Linked DNA regions of Danio rerio. The protein of the gene in region 2 binds, or shares a complex with, the protein of the main gene of each other region. Links are inferred from orthologs where the notes say so. Each region holds a gene or a part of one and is shown on either strand. Other genes may lie near its edges.

Region 1 (3,831 bases), on a different chromosome or scaffold from region 2:
GGATTTCCCCCGGAACACCATCAACTGGTTCAACGTCACAATCACGCCCCCACAAGAGCAAGCTTCTGATTGGTTAACGCGGCGCGAATGTCCGCTAAAGTTCAGATTTCGAATTCGAGAGATTGGCGCGAAACGCTCGTTAAGCGCGTCAAACGCGCAAACGCTCAATTCGCCTCGCGCGTATCGCGCCATTCCCGCCGCGCCATTCGTGCCTATCGCGCCGCAGGATGTCTATTCGCGCGTTTGCATTGACTTAACATGTAAATCACTCGCGCTTGACGCAAGTTCCGCGTCTGGTGTGTACGTAGCATTAGCCCTGCCTCCACAGTAGGCGGGGCTAAGACTCCACACTGCCACTGGCCGAAAGCTGAAAATAAACCTCTGTGGGCGGAGTCAAGGAGAAGGGGCAAAATAACAACCACTCAGAGTCAGAATATCTGGTCTTCCTCTTTCAGATCTTAAATTAGAAATAATTCAATCTGAAAAATAACTATTTATTCGATTCATTTTAACATCCTTATATAAGTGAATTTGATTTAAAAACATTACTTATAACATCTCCTTTGATTAATGCTATTTTTATATGGTAAGAAACATTGTCCCACTCTATACAACATTGCATATTTCACCGTTATGGCCCGTCCCTCATACGTACACATTGGTGTGGAGCTGGAACTCGTCGGTCTTGTATCCCACAGCGAAGTTGCTCTGTGTGATGCGGTTCCTGCCGGCCTCGAAGGTCATCTGGTACCCGGCGAGCCATCCGTCCAGGCCCAGCACCAGCGCTCCGTGCACCGCCGTCCCGTTGATGTCGTAGTCCACGTCACAGCCCAGGTTAATGTGCTCGCGCTGGTAACTGCTCTTGATCTTACCACTCTTCTTACTGCGGGACACCAGCATGAGCGTCAGAGGACATGCATGCTCAATATTAACACATTAAGTGAATTTAATAAATACAGTTGAAGACTGCTGAATTAATCATTCATTGTTCTGTGAAATTAATTAATTAGTTATAAATAAATAAATGCATAAATTCGTACCCAGTGTTTGGAGAAAAGGAGGAGTCGAATGTAAGCTTCAGCCCTTTGGTCAGCTGAGAGATAAAGCAGATAACGGTGAGTGTCAGGAGTGTCTGCTGTGTACTGGAGCTGCACTATACATCAGTTCAGCATCAGCATCGCAATGTGTAGACATCTGACCCTACGCAAACTTATTTCTGGGAAGACAAACGACCCCAAATACACCAGTAATTGAGCAGCATCTTGGTTCCAGACTAACAAGATTAACATAATGGAATGGCCAGTCCAGTGTCCAGACCTTAACCCAATAGAAAACGTGTAACCTGACATCAAAAATGCGGTTTCTGAAGCAAAATCAAGAAATGCAGAGGAATTATGGTCTAGATCAGGGGTCAACAATCTCGTTTATGGAGGTCCGGTGTCCCTGCAGGGTTTAGCTCCAACTTGCCTCAACACACCTGCCTGAGTGTTTAAAGTCTACCTAGTAAGAGCTTGATCAGCTTGTTCAGGTGTGTTTGATTAGAGTTGGAGCTAAAATCAGCAGGACACCGGCCCTCCAGGAACAAGTTTGGTGATCCTTGGTCTAGTACAATCATCCTGAGCTGGTAGACCTGTTAGAAGGTGTCAGAAATGGGCAGTTCTCTGAACCCATGGTTATACAACTAAATATCAGTTCAGTGATTTACTAGGAAGCTAAATCTTCTATCATTTCGCAGTTAATATAGTACATTTTGTCACTTTCTGTAAAGTAATAATACATTTAACCATTATTTTCCCAGTGTTCCCAATGCGTTTGTCTGTATTGCTATTACTTTGAACAATTGTATGTATAGTAAATAAAACAAAATGATTAAAAAATAAAATTAAAATGAATCAAAATTAAAACAAAAGTAAATAAAAATGAAAATAAAATAAAAATGAATAAATGAAAATTAAAATACAATTTTTAAAAAGTGAAATTAAATAAATATTTTTTTAAATAAATAGAAATAAAAATAAAAACAATAATAATTAAATACAATAAATAATTTGCAGAAAAACTAGATATCGAAGAGTCATGTTTTTCCATCATTGTGCAGCCCTGGTGTGTTTGGGTGCTCTCGGTCTGACCTGGTCCTCCAGGGTGATCTCTGTGCCCAGAGTGTTGTCCGTGTTCCACTTCTCAGTGAAGGTCAGGCCGTGTTCAGCCCACTTGTACTTGGTCTCCAGAGTTCCTGCTACTTTACTGGTCTCTGTGTTGGCCGAGCCGGAGCTCTTGAACTCCTGCAGTAAAATAAAGGAGCAGATGATCTCAATCAGAAACATGAGTGCAACACACACACACACACACACACACACACACACGCTATACTATATATATACACTTTCTGCTGCAATAAATAGGATTGACCCCAGTGGTTGAGTTGGGCATTGCAGTCCAAATTCAAAATATTGGAAAGGGTTTTTTCCCACCAGGGGTCTGTTCTTCGTACCTCGCTTAAATGATCTAAGATGATTTGGCAGATCCTGGATCCTTTAATCTTGATAACTGATCTCCGGCTAATTTGGTTCTTCAAAAAAGTTCGCAAATCAGATTAGAATGTCTGGATAAACTGATCTGAGATCGCTGTGTGTGTTGTGAAGGACAGATCTATCAATCCTCGAAATCATGATCAGCAATGCAGCGATTGGCTGACGGCACAGCAGCGTAATGACATCATCTGATTAATATTCAATTATCCATGCAAGCAAAATTACATCAAATTAGCAGTAAACCGTTTGTTATACATGACACGCAATAACCTTCCACATTTGTTGTGAGCTGCAGGCTTTACACTTTCATGTGTCAAGAGTATTCATCATGTATTTCAATTTTATTATAGTAGCCGTTTTTTAATCGGTGTAAAGAAAAACCGTTTTCATATTGGTAAAGGCGTCTGCAACTTTAGTGAAGCATCAAATCACTGGCATATTACTGTCAAAACATGTTTATGACTGCATAAATGTATTATTGGTTTTAAAAAAAAGTCACATATTCTGCATTTCTAATATACACAATTTGTACTAAAGCGATCTAAAAAGTTCATATCAATAAGTTTTCTCTTTGCACCACCAGGTGGCAGTCTTTATACTTTCATTTCGAGGGTGCAGATTGAAGTTTTATTAATATGTATAACTTTATTTTATTAATGACTATAACTTTATATATATATAGTTAAAAATATATGTACAATTTTCCCAAGTGTATATCACTACTACTGTAAGAAAATATCAGAATTCGGAACATACTTTCTGTATTATCTTTGCTTGAACTGAGCCGATCTAATCCTGTTTATATGAATTGAACCTGCTCCCGATCAGGTTTGACCTAGCAGAACTGTTGCTATGACAACAACTCTCGGATCAGCTTTGAAGAACGAAACGATCCTGGATCATGTCAAATCGTCAATATCCAAATCCAGCTAACTGAGTAATCCACATACGAAGAACGGACCCCAGGATTGATTTTCAGATGAACAAGTGTGTTTATTTAGCATGCTTCATAATATAAAACACCACAATATGTTAGCAGACAAACAATGTACATATAGCAGATTTCACTTCACACCAAGCATGAAAGAGTTTAAAAGACATCTAATAGACATGACTTACTGGATAAAACAAATTTGGGCTGTCAGTGAAAATTAGGGATATACAGATCCAATACTCAGTTCACAAATTGGCCTTGATGCTGAAATTTACGTTAAAGCCAAAGTTCAATTAAAAATGTACATTCTGTCATGATTTACTCATTTATATCCAAACCTGTTCGAGTTTTTGTTGAACACAAATG
Region 2 (3,831 bases):
ACAGCTTCCGTGTGTTCTAGCAGCCATCCAACTAGAGCATGACCAGATTCATGGAAGGCTACCACCCTCTGCTCCTCCTTCGATAAGATTTTACTCTTCTTCACACTCCCTACAAGTCACACAAAATCAAACAAGCAGTTGTCAAAATTCTAAATTATCCTCCTGTGGTTTTGGTTTTCTTCTTCAAATGTTTCCCAAACTATGTTTAACAGAGCAAGAAATTTTTTTACAGTATTTCCTATAATATTTTTTCTTCTTGAGAAAATCTTCGTTTTATTTTGGCAAGAAAAAAAAAGCTTTAAACCATTAAAGGTCAATATTATTAGCCCCCTTAAAAATTATATGAAGAGTTTGGTTGCGATAAAAGCTATTTTTTGACATTTGTATTTTATAATTGAAAAACATTGTTCAGATGTACCTTAATCTATGTGTGAATTGCTGCCATTCATAAGATTTAAGAATGTACATTTTTGTTTATACTGTAGGCAAGCTGATAGTCACGTAGGCTACGTCACTGATCAACAGCTGTCTGTCAGTCAGAGAATCAAAGCTTCAGAGTCAAGCTAATGTCATGGATTTCGATGAAGGATTGGATCGGTCATTCCAGCTGCTGTTAAGGAAGGCATCTAAAGAAAATCATCAAAGGGAGAAGAACAAACGAGCAAGGCATTCAGGGGTTGGAAAACATCCGAAGATTAACTGTGGTCATCGTGCGAGTCATATTGGTCGGTGTCATGCCGGCAAACTGTCAGATGAAGATGAAGCCTTCAACTTCACAAAAATGTAAAAAAAAATAAACAAATAAATAGTGGACCAGGACAAAATACTCCTGCTTCTGTCAACAGTACACAAATGCAGCAGGGAACGAATTTCCGCTGATGTCAAGAGGAAGACCAGGGAGCGCCTTTTTTCTTGCGCTCCTCCCCATCAAAAGATACCTGTCTGCAAGGCGACATTTCTAAGTGTCCTTTGTAAGTTTATTTTTAAAATAATTTCTTACAAGTAGCTGAGTAGCCTATCTGAAGATTTATTTATGCGATTGCACCTATTCATAGCCTAAAACCTTACATTAATTCTTGTTGTTGATTTATTATAAGGGATCATAGAGGGCACAGTTTGCTATGGAATAATAAACAGTTTTGTTTTTAAACAACAACCAATAAACTCTATAAGCCATTTTATTACTATTATTATTATTATTATAGTGAAATGACTCAATAAATATGACAGGGCGAGGTGAGCTTGTGTTGCAGACTCGGTGCAAAAGAGACAAGAACTATGACACTGTGCCTCTGCCTGATCTGATCATATAGGTTTGATTTTCAGCAGTGATGTGGAAGGAGCCGCCCTCCACTCTTCCTTCACAAGTAACAAGTTGTTTATCGAACTAACTTAATCTTACTTATAAAACAAAACTGATGTACTAGCTTTTCTTAATGGCATTATTGTAGTAGAATATAGCCTAAGGTGGATTTATAGCGTTTGGCTAAAAATAAATTAAAAATAAAAATAAAAAGGTATGTTGTGTTGTGTACGTTCTGGCCAAAAATAACTTAGAATCTTAATATTATTAATCAAACTTTGTATATACTGTTATACTGTTCCATATGATTTATGATGTATTGCTTTTTTAATGTTTGACAATGTTAAGATAAACAAAACGAAATTCTTCATATATATATATATATACCATCATTATACAATAATTTGCCTAACGTATAGTTAAGCCTTTAAATGTCACCTTAGGCTAAATACCAATATCTTGAAAATATCTAGTAAAATATTACCTACTGTCACCATGGTGAAGACAAAAGTAATCAGTTATTAGAAATTAGTTATTGAATTAATATGTTTAGAAATGTGAAAAATATATATTCGTTAAACAGAAATTAGGGAAACAATACACTTCTGAACAAAATCTTAAGACCGGGAAAAAAATTTCAAGTATTCACATTTTGCACTGGTGTATCGTAATCAGGTTGTAAGTACTGCTTTGAAATGCCAAATGAAGACACAGATACGTCACATAAAAAACAGAGAGTAGGTAATTAAATGAAAACTGCATTTAAACTCAAACAGGCTCGAATCAGCTGATAGGACCAGAGCCTTAAAAAGTTCTACTCTGTGCAAAACTGGCTTTTCCTTCGGCCTGTAACATTTTCAAGATCTCTAGATGGCAAAAGCAAAAAGACTTTTTCCTTTTGAACGTGGCAGGATTGTTGAGCTGCACAAGCAAGGGCTCTCATTGCGCGTCATTGCTGCTGAAGTTGGACACAGTAAGACAGTCATTTTAAATTTCTTAAAAGATCCTGAGCGTTATGGGACAAAAAAGTCAAGTGGTAGACCCAAAAAAACCGAGCCCGCACTGAGCCGGAGGATAAGGCAGGCTGTCCGAGAAGACACAGGCAGATCTTCAACCCAAATTAAGGCCCTTACTGATGCTGACTGCAGCCTAATACCATAAGATGACATCTTCGAGAGAAGGGCTTAAAGAACAAAAAAAACGTCCTCAAAGGCCACGTCTTCTCCCACACCACAAACTTGCCTGTTTGGAATAAGAAAGAGAGCACCAAACATGGGGCATTGAAAAGTGGAAAAAAGTTTAGTTCTCTGACGAAAACAAATATAACCTAGATGGTCCTGATGGCTTCCAACACTACTGGCACGACAAGGAGATTCCACAGGAGATTTCTTCACGGTACAGTGGTAGAGGCTCCATAATGATCTGGGGTGCTTTTTCCTTTAATGGTAAAACTGAGCTTCAGATTGTGCAGGGGCGGGAACTGCTGCTGGTTAAGTAGACATATTGCAGCAGGCATCCCTCTTGACTGAAGGCCCTCATCTGTGCAGCAATGACTTGATCTTTTAACAAGACAATGCTGCAATTCACAACACCCACCTGACAAAACGCTTCTTCAATAAGAATAACATTGCTCTTTTGGACCATCCTGCATGCTCCTCTGATTTAAATCCCATTAAGAACATTTGGGGATGGATGGCAAAGAAAGTTTACAAAAACAGTAATTTTTTATTTTTTTTTTAAACGCTACATCCAGACAGTTGGTGACCTTCCAAAAGCCATCTTAACCACATGGAGCAATGTTACCTCCAGCCTCCTGGAAACACTTGTATCAAGCATACCGAAAAAATAGTTTGAAGTGATCAACAAGAATGGAGGAACTAGTCACTACTGAGTCACTTTTGACAATTTGAGATCCATTGTCATGTTTTTTGGCCTCTGGTCCTATTCTTTTGATCCGCTGATTTCAGCCTATTTGAGTTTAAATGCCTTTTTTAAATAAATTGCTTATTGTCAGTTTTTTTGGCTTTTGCACCTGTGTCTTCTTTGGGTATTTCAAAGCAGTACTTCAAATACTACAAATCAGATTATGATCTTCCCTTCCAAAATGTGTATAACTGTAATGTTTCCCCCGGCGGTCTTAAGATTTTGTTCTGGAGTGTAAACAGGGGGGTTAATAAATTAGGAGGGCTAATAATTGTGACCTCAACTGTATATTTCAAATCAAAAGCACACATTAATCTAGCAGCTAGAAACCTGCAATGACTCTTTCCACAGCATATTCAAAGCTGAAGGTGTCGATGGACTTGAAGCCCTCTCTGGCAGCATGAAGGGCAGCTTCATTACAGATGTTGGCAATGTCAGCACCTGGAAAAAACACAACGATGTACAAATAGTATTGTGGCAGCCAGAACATGGTATTAATGGATTACAGGATTACGTCAAACTCTCACTTACCACTGAAGCCTGGTGTCAACTCAGCCAGGCGCAGAGAATAAAAGTCTGCTGGTTGTGTGAGCTTTAGGATTTTC

Evidence for each region.
Region 1: spg7 (region 2) and vdac1 share a complex: the UniProt entries of both Homo sapiens proteins name them as parts of the mitochondrial permeability transition pore complex. The link is inferred for Danio rerio from reciprocal best matches to the Homo sapiens genes SPG7 and VDAC1.

Annotation. Positions count from the first base shown.
Region 1 is NC_133196.1:49,358,039-49,361,869, forward strand, and holds part of vdac1 (non-selective voltage-gated ion channel VDAC1), read right to left. Parts: intron 2,283-3,831; coding exon 2,130-2,282; intron 1,094-2,129; coding exon 1,041-1,093; intron 884-1,040; coding exon 656-883; intron 1-655. UniProt on the Homo sapiens protein: Non-selective voltage-gated ion channel that mediates the transport of anions and cations through the mitochondrion outer membrane and plasma membrane.
Region 2 is NC_133182.1:57,155,973-57,159,803, forward strand, and holds part of spg7 (mitochondrial inner membrane m-AAA protease component paraplegin), read right to left. Parts: coding exon 3,758-3,831; intron 3,668-3,757; coding exon 3,557-3,667; intron 110-3,556; coding exon 1-109. UniProt on the Homo sapiens protein: Catalytic component of the m-AAA protease, a protease that plays a key role in proteostasis of inner mitochondrial membrane proteins, and which is essential for axonal and neuron development.